Linked DNA regions of Xenopus tropicalis. The protein of the gene in region 1 interacts with the protein of each later gene in a pairwise test. Links are inferred from orthologs where the notes say so. Each region holds a gene or a part of one and is shown in the gene's direction. Other genes may lie near its edges.

What was found.
Region 2: the proteins of ap1b1 (region 1) and kif13a interact in binary tests that used the Homo sapiens proteins (3 or more experiments, as listed by UniProt). The link is inferred for Xenopus tropicalis from reciprocal best matches to the Homo sapiens genes AP1B1 and KIF13A.

Annotation. Positions count from the first base shown.
Region 1 is NC_030677.2:144,883,027-144,893,111, forward strand, and holds the end of ap1b1 (AP-1 complex subunit beta-1), read left to right. Parts: intron 1-1,159; coding exon 1,160-1,255; intron 1,256-1,342; coding exon 1,343-1,458; intron 1,459-1,606; coding exon 1,607-1,772; intron 1,773-2,810; coding exon 2,811-2,909; intron 2,910-4,191; coding exon 4,192-4,451; intron 4,452-4,536; coding exon 4,537-4,738; intron 4,739-5,148; coding exon 5,149-5,178; intron 5,179-5,443; coding exon 5,444-5,578; intron 5,579-6,886; coding exon 6,887-7,032; intron 7,033-7,125; coding exon 7,126-7,255; intron 7,256-7,607; coding exon 7,608-7,692; intron 7,693-8,250; coding exon 8,251-8,337; intron 8,338-8,626; coding exon 8,627-8,781; intron 8,782-9,466; coding exon 9,467-9,541; 3' UTR 9,542-9,902; downstream 9,903-10,085. UniProt on the Homo sapiens protein: Subunit of clathrin-associated adaptor protein complex 1 that plays a role in protein sorting in the late-Golgi/trans-Golgi network (TGN) and/or endosomes.
Region 2 is NC_030682.2:92,845,550-92,856,146, forward strand, and holds part of kif13a (kinesin-like protein KIF13A), read left to right. Parts: intron 1-2,585; coding exon 2,586-2,731; intron 2,732-4,537; coding exon 4,538-4,642; intron 4,643-6,184; coding exon 6,185-7,220; intron 7,221-8,939; coding exon 8,940-9,226; 3' UTR 9,227-10,597. UniProt on the Homo sapiens protein: Plus end-directed microtubule-dependent motor protein involved in intracellular transport and regulating various processes such as mannose-6-phosphate receptor (M6PR) transport to the plasma membrane, endosomal sorting during melanosome biogenesis and cytokinesis.

The DNA of each region.
Region 1 (10,085 bases):
GTGAATGGGTAAGGGACTGTGGAAAAACTGGCACTAGATGGAGAACACTCACAAAGTAAGATATACCCTTCTGTTGAATCACATGTAATTCTGTGAACCATATAAGTAGGCAAAACCAGGACATATGGCTAGACATTTGGAGCAAGTGATTACAATAGGTAGACCCACCCTAAAAGTTGGGAGCTGAGCATATTGGAGAAAGTAACATTTCTGTCACACACTAAATTAATTTTGACGCCAAAGGATTAGTGTCAGCAACACTAAATCCTGAACAAAGACATAGTTCAGGGAAAGGAAGAGAACAAAATGTGAATGTATGCTTGTGTATTACTTTGATGTAATATAATAAGCCATCCTTTTTGTACCACTTGTACTAGTATGTATTTAAACGCTAGTACAAATGACTGGGTTATCTGTTCTGGATAGCTAGAGATTTTGGCTGTAGCATGTTTTGGTTATGCTAATCATCTGTGTCTCTTCAAAATATGTTTGCTGATATTGCCTCTTCTTGAGGGCTTTATATTTTTCTCACACAAAGATGAAGGTTTTTCAGTTATTCATCAAAGTGTCTAAAACCCCTCGCTCTATGATGAATGAAGCCCCTAAATATAATAAGCCATTGTTCCTATTCATCTCATGTGAGACAAATGAAAGCTTTGATGGAAAACCCTGTGCTTTTTCTCTTTTCCTCTTGGTATCCCTCTGTAGTGTTCTTTACCAGTGCTTGATTGCATGTACATCATTTTATTCTTGTCAGGGCATGTGCCTGTTTATAGGTGAGCCTCACTGAGTATCTTTCTTTTTGGCTGGTCTGTACTTTGTGGCCCACTGACTTTGAATAAATATATCCTGTCTAGACGTAGTTTTGTTTCATCTACTATTTACTGTGTTATGTATCCGGCTGTTACATTACACTGTACTATTTTTCCATCAAGGAAGTACAATAATGAGCCAAGTTTAATTTTCATTTTCTCTATAATATCTGACATACATCCAGGATGTTTGGAATAAAAGAAGGTGTAATGTACTAATCTTGTAATTTAGTTTTCCCTATGTTACATTTTTGGAACCGCAAAGGCTCCTTTTTTTGTATGTCTGCTATGAGTTTTATGAGTTCCTCTGCGCTCTCTTAAAGTTTTCCTTTAACTCCTTTCTTTAGGTTCTTGCTGAGCTGAAGGAATATGCCACAGAAGTGGATGTTGACTTTGTGCGCAAAGCTGTAAGAGCAATCGGACGTTGTGCCATCAAGGTGGAGGTAAAAGACTATATTTTCTAAACTGTTTTAACCAAGAATTAATTAACATGATGAACTAAAATCACAAAAAATTGACCTTTCCTACAGCAATCTGCAGAGCGCTGCGTTAGCACCTTGCTTGATCTCATCCAAACCAAAGTCAATTATGTAGTTCAGGAAGCCATCGTGGTGATAAAGGACATATTCAGGAAGTATCCAAACAAGTAGGTGTGCTTGAGTCTTCATTAATCAAGTCTTACTTTGCTGCAATTTCTCCTTCTGCCTGCATCTTACAAATCATATAATCTAATTGATATGTAAGAATAAGCTTCTATTGACAATTATACTAAATCTTTTTTTCTTGCTCTTAAGGTATGAAAGTGTCATATCAACTTTATGTGAGAACCTGGACTCTCTGGATGAGCCGGAGGCTCGGGCTGCAATGATTTGGATTGTGGGGGAATATGCAGAACGCATAGACAATGCAGACGAGCTACTAGAGAGCTTCCTGGAGGGATTCCATGATGAGAGCACACAGGCAAGATACAAGTTTGCAGTTAAAATTGAGAGGCTAAATTAGACACTAGAATTTACCTGTATAATTGCCACTTTTAAGCACACAGAATAGGTATGAACAATGCTTGTTCTGTGCATGTTAAAAACTGGCTAAGGCACTGTCTGGCATTGTTCTAGATATATATATATCCAGGTGCTAGTTTTGCACTATATGTCTTGCAGTCGAATTTCAAAGAATGCTGTCTAGTTCAAGTTCCTAGTGAAAGACTGTTTAGGTATGGATCAGTTTGCTGACTTTAGGGCTGTGACAGTGAAGTCGCGAAGTTTCCTCTCAAGGAAACTTCAGTGACTTTGGCAATTGCGCCGCCGCGTATGCCATCCCGCCGTCGATTTACATTCTAGCCGGTGGGATGGCATTGTGGGGAGATTAGTCACGGCCCTTAGGAAACTGCTTATATTTCACTGGTCCACCACAGGTTTTTAGAATGATGGAGTTATACAGTAAAATTGATATACTATATTAAACATACAGCAGTGATTTTTTTTTTTACCTTTTTCAGCTTTAGTTCCCTTTTCAGGCACTGCATTTTATGAGAGCTTCCTAAGATCATATGGTTACATATGTAAGACACATTAGTGTAATAGCCATTCAGCCATAATTCAGAATTTCATAGTTTCTAGGTAAAAAGAGGAGAGCACATGGAAATTCTCCCTTAGGGTAATGATACATGAGGAGATTAGTTGCCCTGTGATTAATCTCCTCTAGCAGCAGTGACTAATTTGCTTGAATGCTTTCCTACAGGTGAAAATGTAAATCTCCGGTAGGAAAACATATGTGCCACTTCAGCTTTCCAAAGCCATCTGAAGTTAATTGCGGGGCAATTAATCTATTTGTGTCATTGCCCTTATGCTCACTCAACCCAGCCTTCAGATTGGGATCCCCAGCCAGTTCTCTGAGACACCTGGGGTGACAGCCCCACAGTTTGTCAACCACTGATATACATTAAAAATCCAAGATGGATCCTGCAAGTAAATTATATCTTTTTTTTTTTTTTTTTAGGTCCAGTTACAACTTCTAACAGCAATTGTGAAGCTTTTCTTGAAAAAACCAACTGAGACCCAGGAACTGGTGCAACAAGTATTGAGTTTAGCAACACAGGTGTGTATGAGTCTGCTGACTGGCACAGACCCTTTGCCTTTAACTCAGTAGCTTTATCCTGATAAATTTTGTATTAATTAGTTACTGATGGGCACTGGCTGTTTTAGAAACTGGCATCCCGTGGCTTATTCAGCTTTATGTGTTTCACAAAAGGATTCTAATCATATTTACTGACAATAATAAGCAAGATGCTATTCATATTTACAGAAACCGATATTATGCTATGCTAGGAATATGTACTGAAATAAAAGCACGTTAGACATATATTCTGAACAAAATATGTCAACAAATTGGTTAAGGTGTGCTACACAATGAACAAACCGGCTAGTTGTAGCCCCAGGTGCACGCTGAATAAAGGCTTGATAAAGGGCTGGGTTGAAGCCCGAAACGTTGCCTTGTGCACTTGAGTAAAAGTCACTTTTTTCTTCAACATTACCGGAGTGCTGCTGTTTTTCATTTTATCCTGAACAAAATATGTAGTATGCTAGCTGTATTTTCTGAAAAACACTAGCAGGGTGCTTGACTTGCTTACTAAATACTCGTAGGATTATAGCAGTATTTACTGATACAGGTAATGCTATCCATATTTAAAGCAGCAGACATGGTGCTAGACGTGCAGAAACAAGGTAGAAGAATTCTAATAGTATTTACTGAAAGGAACTGGCAAAACAGTGGATGTATTTGCTGAAAAAAGCTGGCAGGATGCTAGATATTTTTATGGAAAGAAGACAAGATATTATCCATATGTATACTGGCAGGATGCTAATCATATTTAAAAGAAACCATTAGGATGCTAGCTGCATTAACTGAAAGAAAGGTATAATGCTAGTCCTAAAAATAGCAGATTTTTTGCCATGTTTACTGTAATAAACTTATAGGCATGTTTACTGAAAGAAACTGTCAAGAAGCCAGATTTTAAGTGCTAAAAGGAATTAAGAGGATGGTAGTCATAATAACAGAAAGAGATAGGGAGGATGCTAACCGTATTTAGTGAAATACTGTGGTGGGCTATTAGCCTTATTTACTTACTTATTTACCTATGTACCACAGGATTCTACTATGTTCCAGCAGCTACAATGTCTGTTCTACTGCATAATACTTATATAACTCCTATGTTTGTGGTTTTGTTATTTGGCAGTAAGAGCATATTGATTCTTTATGATAGTTCTTTAAGTATAGCATAAATTTGCCCGACTAATAGGATTGGGTTTTTGATCTCTCATCTTTCGCCACATGACCAGTCATACAATATAAATTCTGTTCTTGTTTGTATGTCCATTAGGATTCAGATAATCCAGATCTTCGGGATCGTGGCTACATCTATTGGAGGCTCCTGTCCACTGACCCAGTTGCTGCTAAAGAAGTTGTCTTAGCAGAGAAGCCATTGATTTCTGAAGAGACTGACCTAATTGAGCCCACTTTGCTAGATGAGCTTATATGTTACATTGGAACATTGGCTTCTGTCTACCACAAGCCTCCTAATGCCTTTGTGGAGGGAAGCAGAGGGGTTGTGCCTAAGAGGCTCCCGCCACGCACTGGCTCGTAAGTATATGGGTGATGCATCCTATGTGTCTGTAGTGTGTTATAGCTATTGACTAACCCTCTAACTTTATTTATTTTTCTGTAGGAGCGAGAGTGCAGAAAGTCCAGAGGCAGCACCCGCAGGTGTTCCCACAGAGACTCACCCCTCTGTCATTCCATCACAAGGAGACCTTCTGGGGGATCTCCTTAACTTGGATCTAGCTCCACCCATTACTGGGCCTCCACTTACTACAAGTTCTGTTCCCTTAGGAGGTGTGGACTTGCTTGGTGGAGGATTAGATAGTTTGGTATGTAATTAAGGAAACTAACTGTTGCTGTACATCTCTCCAGTTACATGTAGGAAATATATAAATTAGAATTACATAATTTTAATCAACAACAGCCACTTAGAAATGTGATATTTATTATGATTTTTTTTGTGCTTTGTTTCACTCTGCTTTTTTTGGGGGCGGGAGTAGCTTGCTTACATACAGATACATTACACATACTGTCAGGACCTCATTTAAGCTGTTGCCTTTTGGCCTGTTCTGTATCATATAAGAAACCGCACACATGGTTGTAAAGGCAAAGTGTTATACCCCTCACCTAAATTATTCTATTTATTAAGAACTGGCATTAAAGCTTCCACAGAATATCTTTAGGAAACTGTTATAAGGTTGCTTTGAATTCCCATATTTTTCTTCATTCTTTTTTGTAGCTGGGCGGAGACGCAAGCACTGGTTTGGGGGTAAGTTCGCAGCTGTCTATAACCTTTGATGGATAATCATTTGCTGCTTTCTTTCTGTTTTATCCATCTATTCGTTTAAACCTTTCTCTTCATCTCTTCACTTTTTCAAGTGAGTATTTCATTTCTGGTGGCTATAACACAGTGTTTGTTATTGTACACCCATGCATATATTCTGTTATATATGCTCAAATGCTGAAGCCCTTTAATGCAAATGTTTTTGTACTTTCTATGTTTCCCATAATTCCTAACAATTTCTGTCCTACAGCTTCCTACAGGATTCATGGCTCCCCCTGTGGCTGCAAATCCTCTTGGCCAATCTCTTGGCGGAGGTCTGGGAGATCTTTTTGATCTAGGTGGTGGAACAGGTGGGGTCCCTGGACCTTATGTGGCTCCAAAAGCAGTGAGTCCTATTACCCCATTTCTAATGAAAACTGTTTTGTTTTTTTGTTTTTTTTTTAAACTTGTTACAAGTTTGAAGCCTATTTTAGAGTATCTTTGCCGGGAAGGTGTAACATTTTTTTGGCTGGCTGTGGGAGAATATGGGGCAGATTATCAAAATGTGAGTTTAGAGCTTTAAAACACACCCCATGTTCAAGTTATATTCATTCCTATGGGATTGATTAGAACATGGGTGATTTTTATCACATTTTGATAAGTTTGCTAGTTGCTAGTTTGCAGTTACTTTGAATCTTTATGGTATGGATTCTTAGGCCTACGAGGAGTTGGTATTCGCTTTAATCCTACAGTAAAACATTTGGAAGAGTATGTATGACACCATATGTATGAAACCATTAACTATAATCGCTGTTTGAATGTTCAACCAGGTGTGGATTCCAAGACACCAAGACTTCCAATGGATTAGGGCTTTGTGAGAATGTAAGGTTTTATACTAGGACACCCATATAAATTTAGAGATTTTTTTTTTTCTGGAAAGTAAATATGAAGTGTCCGAAAGAGAGAATTCTGGGGAGTGATCATCTTTACTGATGCTGTGTGGCTGAACCATGACAGTTTATGCCTGTTGCAGGTCTCCAGGTCTCATTTTACTTTGTTATAAGGCCTGGATAGTTTTCTGTGTACTTTGTATCAAAGTAGTAGCCAAATGTACACCCAAATATGTTATGGAATGTTGTGACCAGCAGAATGCAAAATTAATTTTAATTCCACGATAATGAAAGGGGCAGAGCCTGAGATTTGACAGGATTGTTTTTGTAACCTGAAACTGAGTCAGGGTTTTGAATAGATATGGGAGAGAGAGGTCTGTGGTTTTCTTAATGTTCATAGTATATCATCTACAAGCAGATTGATATTGTAGTTGTTACAGTTCCCCACTTGCAGACCTTTAAAGAAGGGGATCATTCTAATGAAGTGTGATAGGGGATCTAGGGACAGTGCAAATAACAGAGATATGGACCCACCATGGCAGTTTCTTCCTCTAGTGCTGCTGCATTATTATTAAGTATGAAATAATGGGTTACGGTAGTTTGTAGCAATAAATGTGCTCTGCTGTTTATCAGAAGGGAGGTTACTCAATATAGTTATATTGCTGTAATAAAACCATGCTGCCATATAATAGAGAAGGGCTACCTAGAACTGACTTTTTCTGCTGTTTGGTAATGAGGAGGGTAAAGTCAAATTGCTGCAATAAGGAAGAAATTATATGTCAATATAACACTAAGATTGGCCTTCTGTACATATTTTCTTTAAGGTATGGTTGCATGCTATGAAAGGGAAAGGCCTGGAAATTAGTGGTACCTTTGCTCGAAGATCTGGAACAGTATTCATGGACCTGGTTTTCACCAATCGAGCACTCCAGGTCATGAGTGACTTTGCTATTCAGTTCAATCGCAATAGGTAACAAATTGAGACATTCTGTACATTCCGTATCAAGTTTGAAGGAATAATCTTTATGGTGCCATTCGGTTTATCTTCCTCTTTGCCTTACAGTTTTGGGCTGGCACCTGCTGCTCCTCTCCAGATACTCACACCCTTGGCACCAAACCAGTCTACTGAAGTGTCTCTTCCGATAAACACAATTGGCTCTGTCATGAAAATGGAACCTCTTAACAACCTTCAGGTAAAATGTTTGTGTTATTCTATTTATGATAACAATAAGCTTGCAGTGAAATACTTTGTACATTTACAAACAGTCATTTTAATACTGTATACAGGTTTCTTACCATTAAACTGATATTTAACAAACTGAGCTTTATAGCCCTATAATATGATGATAGCATGGCTAGCTTGCTGCTTACATTAAAGTATGTCATGTTTAGTCATGTTCTGTTTCTGCTTAGCATTTAATTTTTGAGACCGTGTTAGAGGGACACCTGGTATGGGGAGAGGGAAGCTAAAAGTTGGCCTTGCCTTTTGCATGTTGTATGTAGCTAAACACAGAAAAGACATACTTTGTTTTCTTTCCTGTATAGGTTGCTGTAAAGAACAATATAGATGTATTTTACTTCAGTATCTTGTACCCTCTACACATACTTTTCATAGAAGATGGAAAGATGGGTAAGTGAAAGAGGCATCAGTATGCACGGCTCCCATTATTGCCCTGTTTTAATGGGAATTTGAAAAACATGCAGAAGTGCAATTAATTAATTAATTTTTTCACTTGAAAATGAAAGCAAGAACCCGTTGTTTATTACATGTGGTACAGTGTGCATCGCAGAGGCGCATGTAGAAACCTGACTGCGGTGGCTTGTCAGTACAATAACTGATTTTAAATAGATGTACATACTTCTTAGAGAAAGGATGGCATCTTCCAGGAACAACACTGACCTATTTAGAACTCAATATCACTTTATAAATTTTTCTCATATGCCAAGTAAACTGTTTAAGGACTAATGATGTCTAACATAAAATTAGACACACTATTTTGTGACAAACTGTCATGTGATTTTAAGGATTCTGATTCGGTTCGGCCAGGCACATGGAATTGGCCAAATCCTGCTGAAAAGACGAATCTTGACAGAATCCTGGGTTCAGTGCATCCCTATTATTTATCCTTTTCCTATTCATTCATATTCTGTTTCATATTCTTTTAACCAATTGTAATCTCTCTTCAAGAGCGACAGATGTTTTTGGCCACGTGGAAGGATATAGCAAATGAGAATGAGGCACAGTTTCAAATAAGAGACTGCCCTACAGGTTCAGGTAAGGAAACTCTGTCTATGGTGCATGATTGCATGATTTACGGTTAACATCATATTGCTGGCTGAGCAGGTTAGATGTGTGCTACTTTTTTTTGTCATCTGCTGAATGTGAGTTTCAAACAGCTATATAACTGTGGTGGTAGTTTATTTTAGTATTGTGCTGTCAAAGGGCCTCTGAAAGCATTATATGACTAGTACCTTCTTTCAGGATTAATGCATTCATGTTACTTTACCCTAAATAATTGGATATGTGTATATTCTACAGCTGTATTACTGTTTTGAAATTGCAGATGCAGTAAGCAACAAGCTGCAGGCTAGCAATATCTTCACGGTGGCCCGAAGAACAGTTGAAGGTCAAGATATGCTTTACCAATCAATGAAGCTTACCAATGGCATCTGGGTTTTAGCAGAAGTGAGAATGCAACCTGGTAGCCCCAACTGCACAGTGAGTAGTCAACAATTAACCGTTTTTTTTTTTTTTTATATATATTGCTCAATATATATCTCAATAAACCAACATCTGAAAAGGTGGAATTATGTGTGGTGGGTTTATGTGTAAAAATCAGTGTAGTTTATTATATGTTCACTAATCATTAGATATTGGGTATGGTTGTTTTGTTTTAGCTCATTAATACTTTTTAAAGGCTGCAGAGTGTCAGCATCTACATGAGATTTGTAAAGATGTTTTTTTCTTTGGAGAGCCACCCAAAAGGAAGGAAAGTAGCCTTCCATACCACTTTGTCAGTATTGTATTTTACTTCTACATGGCAGATATGCTGCAGCTCAGAATAAACTGACTGCTTTTCCTGTAATTCACCCTCAGATATTTTTTGGCATGATGGAAAATTACATTAAAATTAAATTAAATTGTTTAATAAATACTGCTGATATTCCTGAGCAAGCTTTTCACAGACTTTCTCTAAAATACACAAGACAGTTTGTAACTAAAATTTAAAAGGATTCTTCCCTTAATAAGCAGAACCCACTAAAATAATGCCTGCATGATGAAGGTAACCAGGCAGTAATGGGTTACATATAGCAAGGGATAACTTCACAAGCACTGTTTTATTCTCCTAAAAGGATTAATATTGCCTTTACTTAGTCTTAACCTCAATTGTATTTGTAAATAGCTGTCTCTAAAGTGCTGTGCACCCGAAGTATCCCAGTTCGTCTTCCAAGCTTACGAGACTGTTGTGAAGAACTAAGTATTATCCTGATCCTCGCCAGCCTTCCTTTCAAGATGATGGATGTAGTTCTTTATGGATAGAGGTTGGACGTACCAGGAAGGGACCTCTGGGAAAAGAATGAACCTACTTTTCAATCAGAAAACCAAACATGGACCAAATAATGAAGTGTTGATTTTATGCTCTCGCACCATCACCTACCCAACATTTTAAGCCTTTATTTTTCTGGGATGGGTAAAAATGGGATTAAGATATATATCATGTTCTTTTTAGTAGGTTTGGTGAAGCGATCTGCTTGTTATGTTTTAAGAGATGGTTTGTACTGTTTCTTATTAACTTAATATGGAGTAACTTGGATAAAAATGTATGTATATAAAAAAAACTTTTAAATGTGTGAATTTATTGCTAATTTTGTAAGTGAAAACAAAACCACTTCTGTGTTGAATTGTATCTGTGCATGGAGTCAGTTGCCGAACTTGCATTTTGGGGGAAAAAAGAAACACATGAAAGCTGGATTTGCTATTAAGGTGCCACAGAGCCTGGTACCCCGTTCATTGCTTGTTAA
Region 2 (10,597 bases), on another chromosome or scaffold:
AGATATAGTGTAAGCATTGTATACCTCTGGACCGCATGCTGTAAAAGAGTAAGTGTGGTAGCATGGTGCTGTAAAAACTGATGCTCATTTCGCACTGCAACCCTGGTTAGAAGCACCATTGCAGTGCAAAATGCATGTTAGGTTCTAGAAATTTGGAGTATCTAACCTAAAATTATTTGGCTGGTAATCACTTAAATTACTAATAAACATTACATACAGTATTTTATTTACTTGTTCACTTGTATACAACTTGAAACAACTTTATATCCCACTTGTATTTCTCCTGTATTATACATTATTGTAGGCTTTATCAATTTTAGAACTCCGTTGAAAAAACAAATTAGCTGTTATTTATGAAGGGCTAAGCAAAATCACAGCCTATAGAGCACTATTAACAAACTACTTGCATGTAGTGCCAAGTGCAGTACCAACAGGCACAAGGAAGCGCTCTGTGCATAGTATCTGCCAAACCTGGACAGGGAATAAAAACAGGCCCTGGCATTTCAGGAACACAGAGGCCCAAAGAGCCCCTCACCAGCCCACTAAATAGTGACTGTCTATAGCATCTTATAGCAGCCACAGTCTAGGCCTGGCAGTTTCCATAAACTGGCAGTAAATACAAGGCTTCCTAGAACTTTGCATTGCCCATACTTCTATCTTTTGTGCTCCAAATGACAAGCAAGTCAGGAGATGGCCATGTGCTCTAGACTACCTGCTGCTCCTGTAAGCAACACCTCCAAACACAGGCAGCACTACAGACATTCTGGGCGCAATTCCATTGGTGCAAGGTGAATAATACAGGTATTTAAAATCATGGCACTTTGACATGTTTTTTGCACTTTGTCTCTTTTTTGTAAATAAGGCCTATTATGTTTAAACTATCATGAATGGGCTTAACTTGGCTCAGTACTGACAGGCAGCTTGTGTTCTGAGCAGAGGTGGGAGTGTTCCAACCATTCTTGACTGACATCAAGAAGTTCATCCCCCACCTGCCCATCTTTCCTATCTAATAGAAAATCTGGAAAAGGCTTCTAAAATTCAACCCAATTCACCCTTACATTGTCTGACACTTTCCCTCTAACTTACCTGAGTCACTAACAAACACATAGAACATAGAGATTTCTTGATTATTTATTAGAAAAACATGAAAGAAGCCAAATATCACTATTATTGAGCAGCAGCAATCTAGTTATTTGCCACAAAGGCCCAGCAATTTGAAACATACACGCCAAAAGAACTAGCAGGTGATTGTTGTAGTTAAACAATAGCTTTAGGGCATCCACTTGCACATTCCCATAAAACTACAATTTGCCCTTTGAATAACTTATAAATAGATGTTGTAGGAACAGTAACTTGTGCTACTGTTCGTGCTATAACAGCATAGTCACTCTTTATATGTATACAAGCTAATTGATAGCAGACTATATAGCTGTTTCTTAAGATTACATTGACTGGCTTTAGGCTGATGCCACACGTGGCGTTTTTCCGCTGCGTTTTTTCTCGGCCTAAAAACGCCGCACAAGCCACACAGCCCCTGACTATGGCGTTTTTCAGCCTAATACTGGTGACGTAAGCAAATCCCGTTTCCATGGTGCTAATAGTGCAAAATAGCAAAAAACGCTGCGTATTTCCGCTAGGTCTGGCAGCTGCCTTTGCGTATACATAGGAATAGCTTGCTTTGCAAATACTGGCGTATTTCGGCCTACGCTTGAAATATCCGTGCTAAGGCGTTTTCTAGCGTATTTCCGCATTGTGTGGTTTGCTTCGAGTCTTTTCAAGCTATTTCTATGGATGATGATATCGCCACGTGTGGCATCAGCCTTAGCAGAGTAAATGCTACAGACTGACCAGGTGGGCCTGATTAGAGGTGGTTAATCAAGAAGCCTGAAAGCCTGGCAGTCAGTTTACACGAGTGTTCTGATAGAGAGGTTTCTGTGAATCCAACATACAGGAGTCTATGTGCCTGTACACACACAGTTGCCTGTGCAGAGGTCTGTAATATTGCTGCAGTTGATGTGTCACTGGTATGGAGGAAGTCTCTTTTATACACTCTTGTTACATTTGTATCTGGCTATTGAAGTAATATATTAATATGCATGTGTAAATTGCTGGAGGGTGCAGCTGATCTAAGGTTACTGGTGAGCAGCAAAAAACCCAAATGCAAAAGAGCCTGAAGTGCTGTGTATATGTGGATAGAAACAATAAGGGGCTCTACTCTTATATGTAGAAATCGATCTTCATCAGCCCCCAGCCTGGCTCCATTCCTTTACTATCCCTTTGCACGTGTTTGCTTCTGAGGGGTGTGGCCTCATGACATGCTGCAGCAAATCAGATTTCTCTCTGCTCTGTCACTCACACATTTCTGCGTCACTGACAGACCAGAGAGCCAGAGATTCTGGAAGGTGGGGGATGGGAGGCCGCTTCAATAATTAGTCATAACATTGTAACGGTGAAAAAAAATTTGAAAATATAAAGTCTAGACAAACATTTTAACAGTTTATAGCTTTTAATATTCTAAAAACATTTTTCATGATTGTTCCCCTTTAACTATAAGTTGTATAAATGACATGAGTTTTGTTTTCCAGGCAGTATACCAGACAGTATACATGCTTTAAGTCCATTCAAAACATTTTCTCATCAACCACCAAAATTCTTCAATCCACTGATGCCTGTCAGGGAGGAGCACAAAAGAAAGATTCCTGTTGAAACCCAGCCTCTCCTCAGTCAAGAGGTACAGAACCTTCTTTCCATACATCATGTTGCTCAAGTGCAGACCTTTTTTTTGCTTATTTATAGGTGATTTATAAAAAATACAAATTCAGATTACCATTATAATATACAAAGCTGCAACTTCTTGGCGTCTAATAATGAGTCCTGCCAAAGCAATAATCTTTGGCAATGTTCCACCAGTGTAGGGAAGTTTACCCTTTCTGGGTAAAATGCCAGGTTGTTTCACTGTTATGGTAAGTTACCTTTTCGCAACCATTTTTGGGAAACAGGGGTGGAATATTAAGAAGTGACTGTTTTCATACTGTGCTATCTGTCATGGTCTGTAAAATCACAGCATGTCATGGGAACAGGCTGGTGCTGCTATAATGATGAGCCCAGTAGTGGAAGCAGGTCTGGACTGGGATTCAAAATAGGCCTTGGCATTTCAAGTACACAGAGGCCCAAACAGCCCCCACAGGCCCAATAAATAGTGACTGTCTATTAGGGATGCACTAAATCCAGAATTTGGTTTGGGATTTGGCCAAGATTTGGCCTTTTTTGGCAGGATTCAGCTAAATCCATGTGCCTGGCTGAACTGAATCTGAATCCTTAAAATCACGTGACTTTTTGTCACCCAAGTACAAAGGTTAAAAAAATTTCGCTGCACACGGTTCTCTTTCACCCTTGCGCATGTGCAAATTAGGATTCAAATTTCGTTCAGTATTCAGTCGAATTTTTCATGAAGTATTCAGAGTTTGGCCAAATCCCATAATAGTGGATTCAGTGCATCGCTACTGTCTATGGCATCTTACAGCAGCCTCCTCTTTGGCGTAGAATCCACAGATTTCCAGTTCAGGCCTGACTGGAAAGTACATGCAACATGAAGTTAACCATTATTATGCATAGGGTTGCCACTTTTTCTAGGGAAAAAAAACAGCCTTCCTATATATTATTCTAATTTTTTTTATTAATAACATTGGCATGAACCATTATTTTTACTTGTCAGGTTGGTAAAATAAAATACATCCATGTGGCAAACCTAACTATGTGCTGCATATAGTGGAATTTGGAAGAATAAACAAATTTGTGTACAAGCTAAAGTTTCTTTATCCCCCACCCCCAGAATATGTGTCTTGTGTCATTCCCCATTTCTGCATCACAGTGCACTTTCCTATCTGATTTATCTCATATTCACAGCATGTGTTGTCATAGTTTAACTGGTCTGGTGTCTATGTACTAGGGCAGTGCTGTCGAACTTATTATGTGTAGTGGGACAATTACTTCTCATACAGTATGTTTAAGGGCCTGTTAAAGTCTGTGGGGCCTTTGAGCAGACTGGGGGCCATAAAAATTGTTAGGAGGGCCACATCCAGCCCATTGGCCTCCAGTTGGACAGCCCTGCACTAGGGTAATATCACTAAAAGGGGCTATCAGTACACAGCCAAAGTCTCCTTTCCAAGCACACAACCACATAGTGCAGCTTTGTGTGAGACACAGTTCAAAAAATGACCATGTTATAAATTTTATCAAATTACTATTGAAAAAACATATATATATATATTTAAAAAAAAACAACTTTATTTGAACATATTATTTGTCCCTTAATAATATTTATATAAATCCTTATGAAAATGAATTGTTCTCACAAACATGTTGCATGAGAGTCACATTAATTGCTTGGTTAAGACATCTCTAGGTTTGCATGTGTCACATTTAATATGCGTGCTTTTGTTTGTGTATCACTTGCGCGGTTTTAACATGTCACTTAAATGTTTGTGTTCACATTTGTTTTTGTGCTGTGATGTGTTGTGTGTCTCACCCTTTGCAGAGCATGCCTTCATCCCAGACAATTAGCACTGGCACTGCTGTGCCGTCAGGACCTTATGACAACTGCATGCCAGTAGAAAACAATAACACTCATGAAGATGTCATTGTAAGTCTGGGTTTCACCTTGGGGTGTTGTTTAAACAGCGAGTACAAATCTGTAACACTAAGTTCTTTATCACTGAATGTTAGATTTTGCATAGATACTTTTTTTCAGGGCATCTGTTCCTCCTCCTGCTCATGCTTTCCCTGCTTTCTATTCCACCAGGCTGCATGAACCAATCACATTCCTGGACCAGCCATTTGGCTGTTAATTAAACAGTACATTTCACAGCCTAAATGTGTCCATGTCAGAAATAAACCTTTGTAATGTGATAAAAGGTGTAAAGCTCGCACCAGGTCTAATAAGAGGAAGTATGTAATTGGTTGATATGGTTTAAGTATATGAATGGTAAATGCATCTTAATTATTGGTTGCCGTGGGTTACTAGACCCAGTGCTACTTTTATTACATTACAATCAGTGACAGAGGAGTAGGCAGGGGTGGTACACTCTGCAAGTTACCAGGGGCAGCAAAAAGCCACTCCTTGTAACTTAAAGATCCAAAATTAAAATGTTTAAATTGGAATTTCATCTCTTCTAATGCAGAGAGCGCTATTGCACTAGCAAAGAGGCCCCCTTTTGTGCAGTGGGCGCATTGACTTGGCCACCTCAGGGCGGCACTGAGCCTAAGATGCCCCTGCGTTATGCAACTGTATCATATTGTTATGCAACTGTATCATATTATTATGCATACAGTAAAGTTATGTTTTTAACACATTTACCCTATACTTCTACATTTGTTTAAAAAATAGAGACAGGAGAATGTCTTAATGGCCAGTTCAGTGGTTATATGACTAACTAGAGGTACCTGAACTGTTGTACAGCCAGGCAGGTTATACTCTAGTTCTGAGCACTAACAGCAAATATATATCTAACCTGTACGCTTACCATCATTTACAGGGTTAAGCCATTTGTTCTTCTGCAAATGGTAGCTGCAGTGAGTCACATCCTAATATATCCTGCTTAGGGTACCTGTTACGGTGCTTCCCTGATGTTCTTTATCCCTGCACGGGAAGCCCATAATATAAAATACCAGTGACAGATGCACCCAGCAGTAATAAACATGCATATAACAACACATTCAAATATTAAAATAGATATAATTAGACAGCACTGTAAATGTGGTAAAGAGATATGTATTAGCTTATCCATCATTTCAAAGAGTACAGGTATTGGACCTGTTATCCAGAATGCTCAGGACCTGTGATTTTCCAGATAGCCTTCCCAGATACTGGCTTTCTGTAATTTGGATCTCTCTTTCTGTAATTTGGGTCTGTTATAAGATCATTTAAACATTAAACAAACGCAATAGAATTGTTTTGCCTCCAATAAAGTTTAATTCTATCTTGGTTGGGATCAAGTACAAGGTACTGTGCTATTATCCCAGAGAAAAATAATAGACATTTTAAAAATTTGAATTATTTGGTTAAAATGGAGTCTATGGCAGATGGTCTTACCATGATTGTTTTCTGGATAACAGGCTTCCAGATAACAGATCCCATACCTGTATTAACTTCCTAACTCAATGCTGTTATGTGTTTTGCTTAAAGGAGTCTGAGGAAGAGGATAATGAATTTGATGGGAGCAGTAAAAAAGGAATCCACTCCAGCAGTTTTCAGCATTTCCAGCCTTACATCCCAGAAGAATTTGCTGATTTCAGTGTTTACAATGCTAGCCTGGACAACAAGGACTGGATAACCTCAAAATCAGATTTTATTTGCTCCCGGCCTCTAGAGAAAGAGATTTCTCGGAGTCCTACCACCAGCAGTATTACTAGTGGCTATTTTTCTCACAGTGCGTCCAATGCTACACTTTCTGACATACTGGTCCCTTCCAGTGAGAGCATGGATCATTTAGTCAGTCATACAGGGGATTTTGAAAGCCGAGATATTTTAGTTCACCATTCTGCAAAGGATCATACAGTTTGCTCTCACAAGGGACTAAATGGTAGAATTTCTACAGACAATGCAACAAGCCTAGCAAACCTCACAGAAAAAAGTGCCTTTGATAAAGTGCCACATTGCACTACTGATAAAGCTGCTGCTCTCCTGTTCAGAAGTGCATCTTGCTCTTCTGTGGACTCCCCAACCTACAAAACTAAAGTAAGCACTGTCCATTTCCTGCCCTGTGAAGTTGCTGTGGAGCACACTTGTGCTATATTAGAGGACCATTCATTCACAGAGTTCATGGGGGCTGAGGATGGCAAAGATCTGGAGCAACACGAGCACTCCCTGGTTTTATTTTCCAATGGAGACAAAGATAGAGCTGAGTGCAACTCCCTAGCAGCCCTCCCTAATGCAACACCCAGCCAACACTGGCTGGCAGAGGATGGTAATGACTCAGACTGCCTGGGTGATGCTGCCTTATTTAGCCAATCTCCCCCTTGTTCTTCTGAAGAAAGTTCCCTTGTAAAAATTAATTTAAATCTTTCTGACTCTGAAGACAATCCTTCCCACAATTCACTGTGTCTCGCACTCGGCGATCAAGTATGCATTGGAGAGAACAAAACTGGGACAGTGCGCTACATTGGCACAGTAGATTTCTCACGTGGCACATGGGTTGGAATTGAGCTTCATGCTCAGCTAGGTAAGAAAAAGAATAGTGGCCTCCTGGCTGCTGTTCAGACTAATTTTGGAGATGTACGTATATGCCTGCCCTGTGGGATAAAATCATGAAAATATAAATATATATGTCTGCCCCAGCTGTATTTCATATAGGAATATTAATGGTTGCTACTTGCAGCTGGATAATAAAAGGGTTTTGTTCTTTTCTGTGAGAATTATGAACTACTTTCTCCATAATTCATGCTAAATGTCAGTCATTTATCAAAAGATCCGCATTGAAAAAGCACAAACAAAAAAAAGTAACAGAAAAATACAGAAACCACAACTTTTTCAATTTGTTGCACGAAAATCACAACCTTTTCGTATTGTGCAAAAGCCAGCATTAAAACAAGCAGAAAATCTCTAAAACCACAAAGCAAAAAAATCTTCCAGTTGTCAAAGGGATATCTGAAATCCTGTTTGGCGTCAAGAAACTCAAACTGAAATAATCAGCCATAAATAAATGCCCCCCTAAGTGTGAGCCAATACTTAAAAGTACATTTTACACTCTCTATAAATGCCTTTCAGACTAGTATGCAGTTACAGTGAGGAGCATAAGTATTTGAACACCCTTCGATTTTGCAAGTTCTCCCACTTAGAAAACATGGAGGGGTCTGAAATTCACATTGTAGGTGCATTCCCACTGTGAGAGACAGCAGTTAAAAAAAAAATCAGGAAATCACATTGTATGATTTTTAAAGAATTTATTTGTATTGAACACCTGAGAAAATCAGTGTTATATTTGGTACAGAAGCCTTTATTTGAAATTACAGAGGTCAAACGTTTCCTGTAGTTCTTGAGCAGGTTTGCACACACTGCAACAGGGATTTTGGCCCACTCCTCCATACAGATCTCCTCTAGATCTGTCAGGTTTCGGGGCTGTCGCTGAGCAACACAGAGTTTCAGCTCCCTCCAAAGATTTTCTATTGGATTTAGGTCTGGAGACTGAAATACCTCTTACGGAGCCACTCCTTGGTTATCCTGGCTGTGTGCTTCAGGTCATTGTCATGTTGGAAGACCCAGCCACGACCCATCTTCAATGCTCTGACTGAAGGAAGGAGGTTGTTGCTCAAAATCTCACAATTCATGGCCCCAGTCATCCTCTTCTTAATACAGTGCAGTCGTCCTGTCCCCTTTGCAGTAAAGCACCCCCAAAACAGTTGATCTATTTTCACCAAGCTGCTTGGCAATTGCCCCGTGGCCCTTTCCAGCCTTGTGGAGGTCCACAATTTTGTCTCTGGTGTCTTTTGACAGCTCTTAGGTCTTGCCCATGGTAGTAGTTGGAGTCTGACTGACTGTGGGGTGGACAGGTGTCTTTAAAGAGCTCAGACAGGTGCTACTAATTTAGATTAATGAGCGGAGTAGAGGTGGACTATTTAAAGGCAGAGCAATAGGTCTTTGAGAGCCAGAATTCTTGCTGATTGCCAGGTGTTCAAATACTTATACATTCTTTAAAAATCATACAATGTGATTTCCTTTTTTTTTTTTTTTTTTTTAAATGCTGTCTCTTACAGTGGGAATGCACCTACAGTGTGAATTTCAGACCCCTCCATGATTTCTAAGTGCAAAATCGCAGGGTGTTCAATTACTTATGTTCCTCACTGTATATGTTGCTATACAGCAAGCTACAACCCAAAAAAACAGCTGTAGGGTTGGTTGTTTACATTTTTTTAAGATTAAATTGTTTTATTCTGCTTTTAAGGTAAACATGATGGGACTGTAAAAGGCAAGGAGTACTTCCGCTGCAAACCCAAGTACGGAGTGTTCGTCCGCCCCAGTCGGCTTACCAAAGCACTTGGCTCATCACAGAGGAGCAGTAGCAGCACTGCATGGGGTCAGGCATCACTGAACATAGACAAGAGGAGAAGTGCTGTGCTTCGAGACTCTTCAGCTCCCAAGGCACGAGTCACAGCAGCCTACCTGTCGGGGGATCAGGCAGCGTCTGCATTCTCTAGGAAGCAGGAGTTCCGCAAATCCTGGATTAACTAAGAAGCATTATTTGCACTTATTGCACAAATCTCGTGTGGGAACCAATATGTTGAGAAAAAAAAGTTTTTGTACAGTGTACAGTTTTAATTTGTCATTCTGAAACATTTACTGGATAGAGTCACAGACAATGTTCTGTTTTTAATGTGGTCTCTACATGAATTGTGTCTGCCTTGTAGGCAGGTTGTTGCTGCACACTAAAAGCATGACTGAAATTGAATCTGTAGATAGAGGGCAGGTACTGGGCTGTTCTTACACGATGACTCGGAAGCTCTATTTTAATCAGAGAAAAAAAGGACTATTTTATTCAGAGAAGAAAAATAAACCATATATACATATCTGTACAAATGAAAAGTCGCAGTATGTTGTTTATCTACCAAAGAACCTGTGTCAAGTAGAAATTTTTGCTAATGGCATTGCTTTGTACTTTCTGCTGAAAACGATAGTTCTGTGGGCTTTATAATAATAATAGTCTCACCATGCTGCCTTACAGGTTCCTTTTTTCCCTCCATGGGGTCATTGGCACAAAGATTATCAAGCACCCCCCTTTTATTTTAGGTGTAGTAGATTGTTGGTTCTACGTTGGATGTCACTGTTCCACTCTGGGTTCCAGACAATGCGTCAAAAAATACACAGCACTAATCAGTCTCTTTACCCAACTTTTAGCTGTAGATATGAGGAGAGTTTAGCTCTTTTAGATAAACTGGGAAGCCCAGCTTTTAAAGGTCATCTAGGGTGTGATTTGGGGAAAACACCCATTTGTTGTCCTCAATATTTTTTAACTAAGGCTGATTGGCTGATACACAAAAATGTTTTTCTACATCTGTAACCTGGCTAGCGGGAATCTTTAACCAAAAAATATGACAACCACTGTGTTAGGCTTGTAACGTCTGTTGACCTCTCATTGGTAGGCACCTTTAGTAGCCACTTATACAGGATCCTTGTTAGAAGGAAAAAAAAAACCCACACGGTTAAGTAAACTTGAAAAGCTTCTAACAAGGAGGCTTACATACTACAAATATAATGTGCTTTTGTAATGCATTATTTCATTCTGTAATTATACAGTAGTTTCTGCCCTACTGGAGAACCTACATGTTCATTCTACTTCCATTATTTCCACACTAGTTCAAGTTTCACTTTTATTGTCATATACAAATAACAATGAAGCATCATTACTGTAATGGCATTTTTTTTTGACCCGTGTTCCTCCCAACTTTACATAGACAAACAAAAAAAAAGTTAGGAATAAGGACTAATAAGGAAAAAGCTTATTGCAGAATAGTCAGGCCAGGATCTGTCATATGTATGTATCATTCTTTGTAAAATCCCTACCCCACCCCAGACAGATGTAGAGAAAGCATTGATAATTGTCCA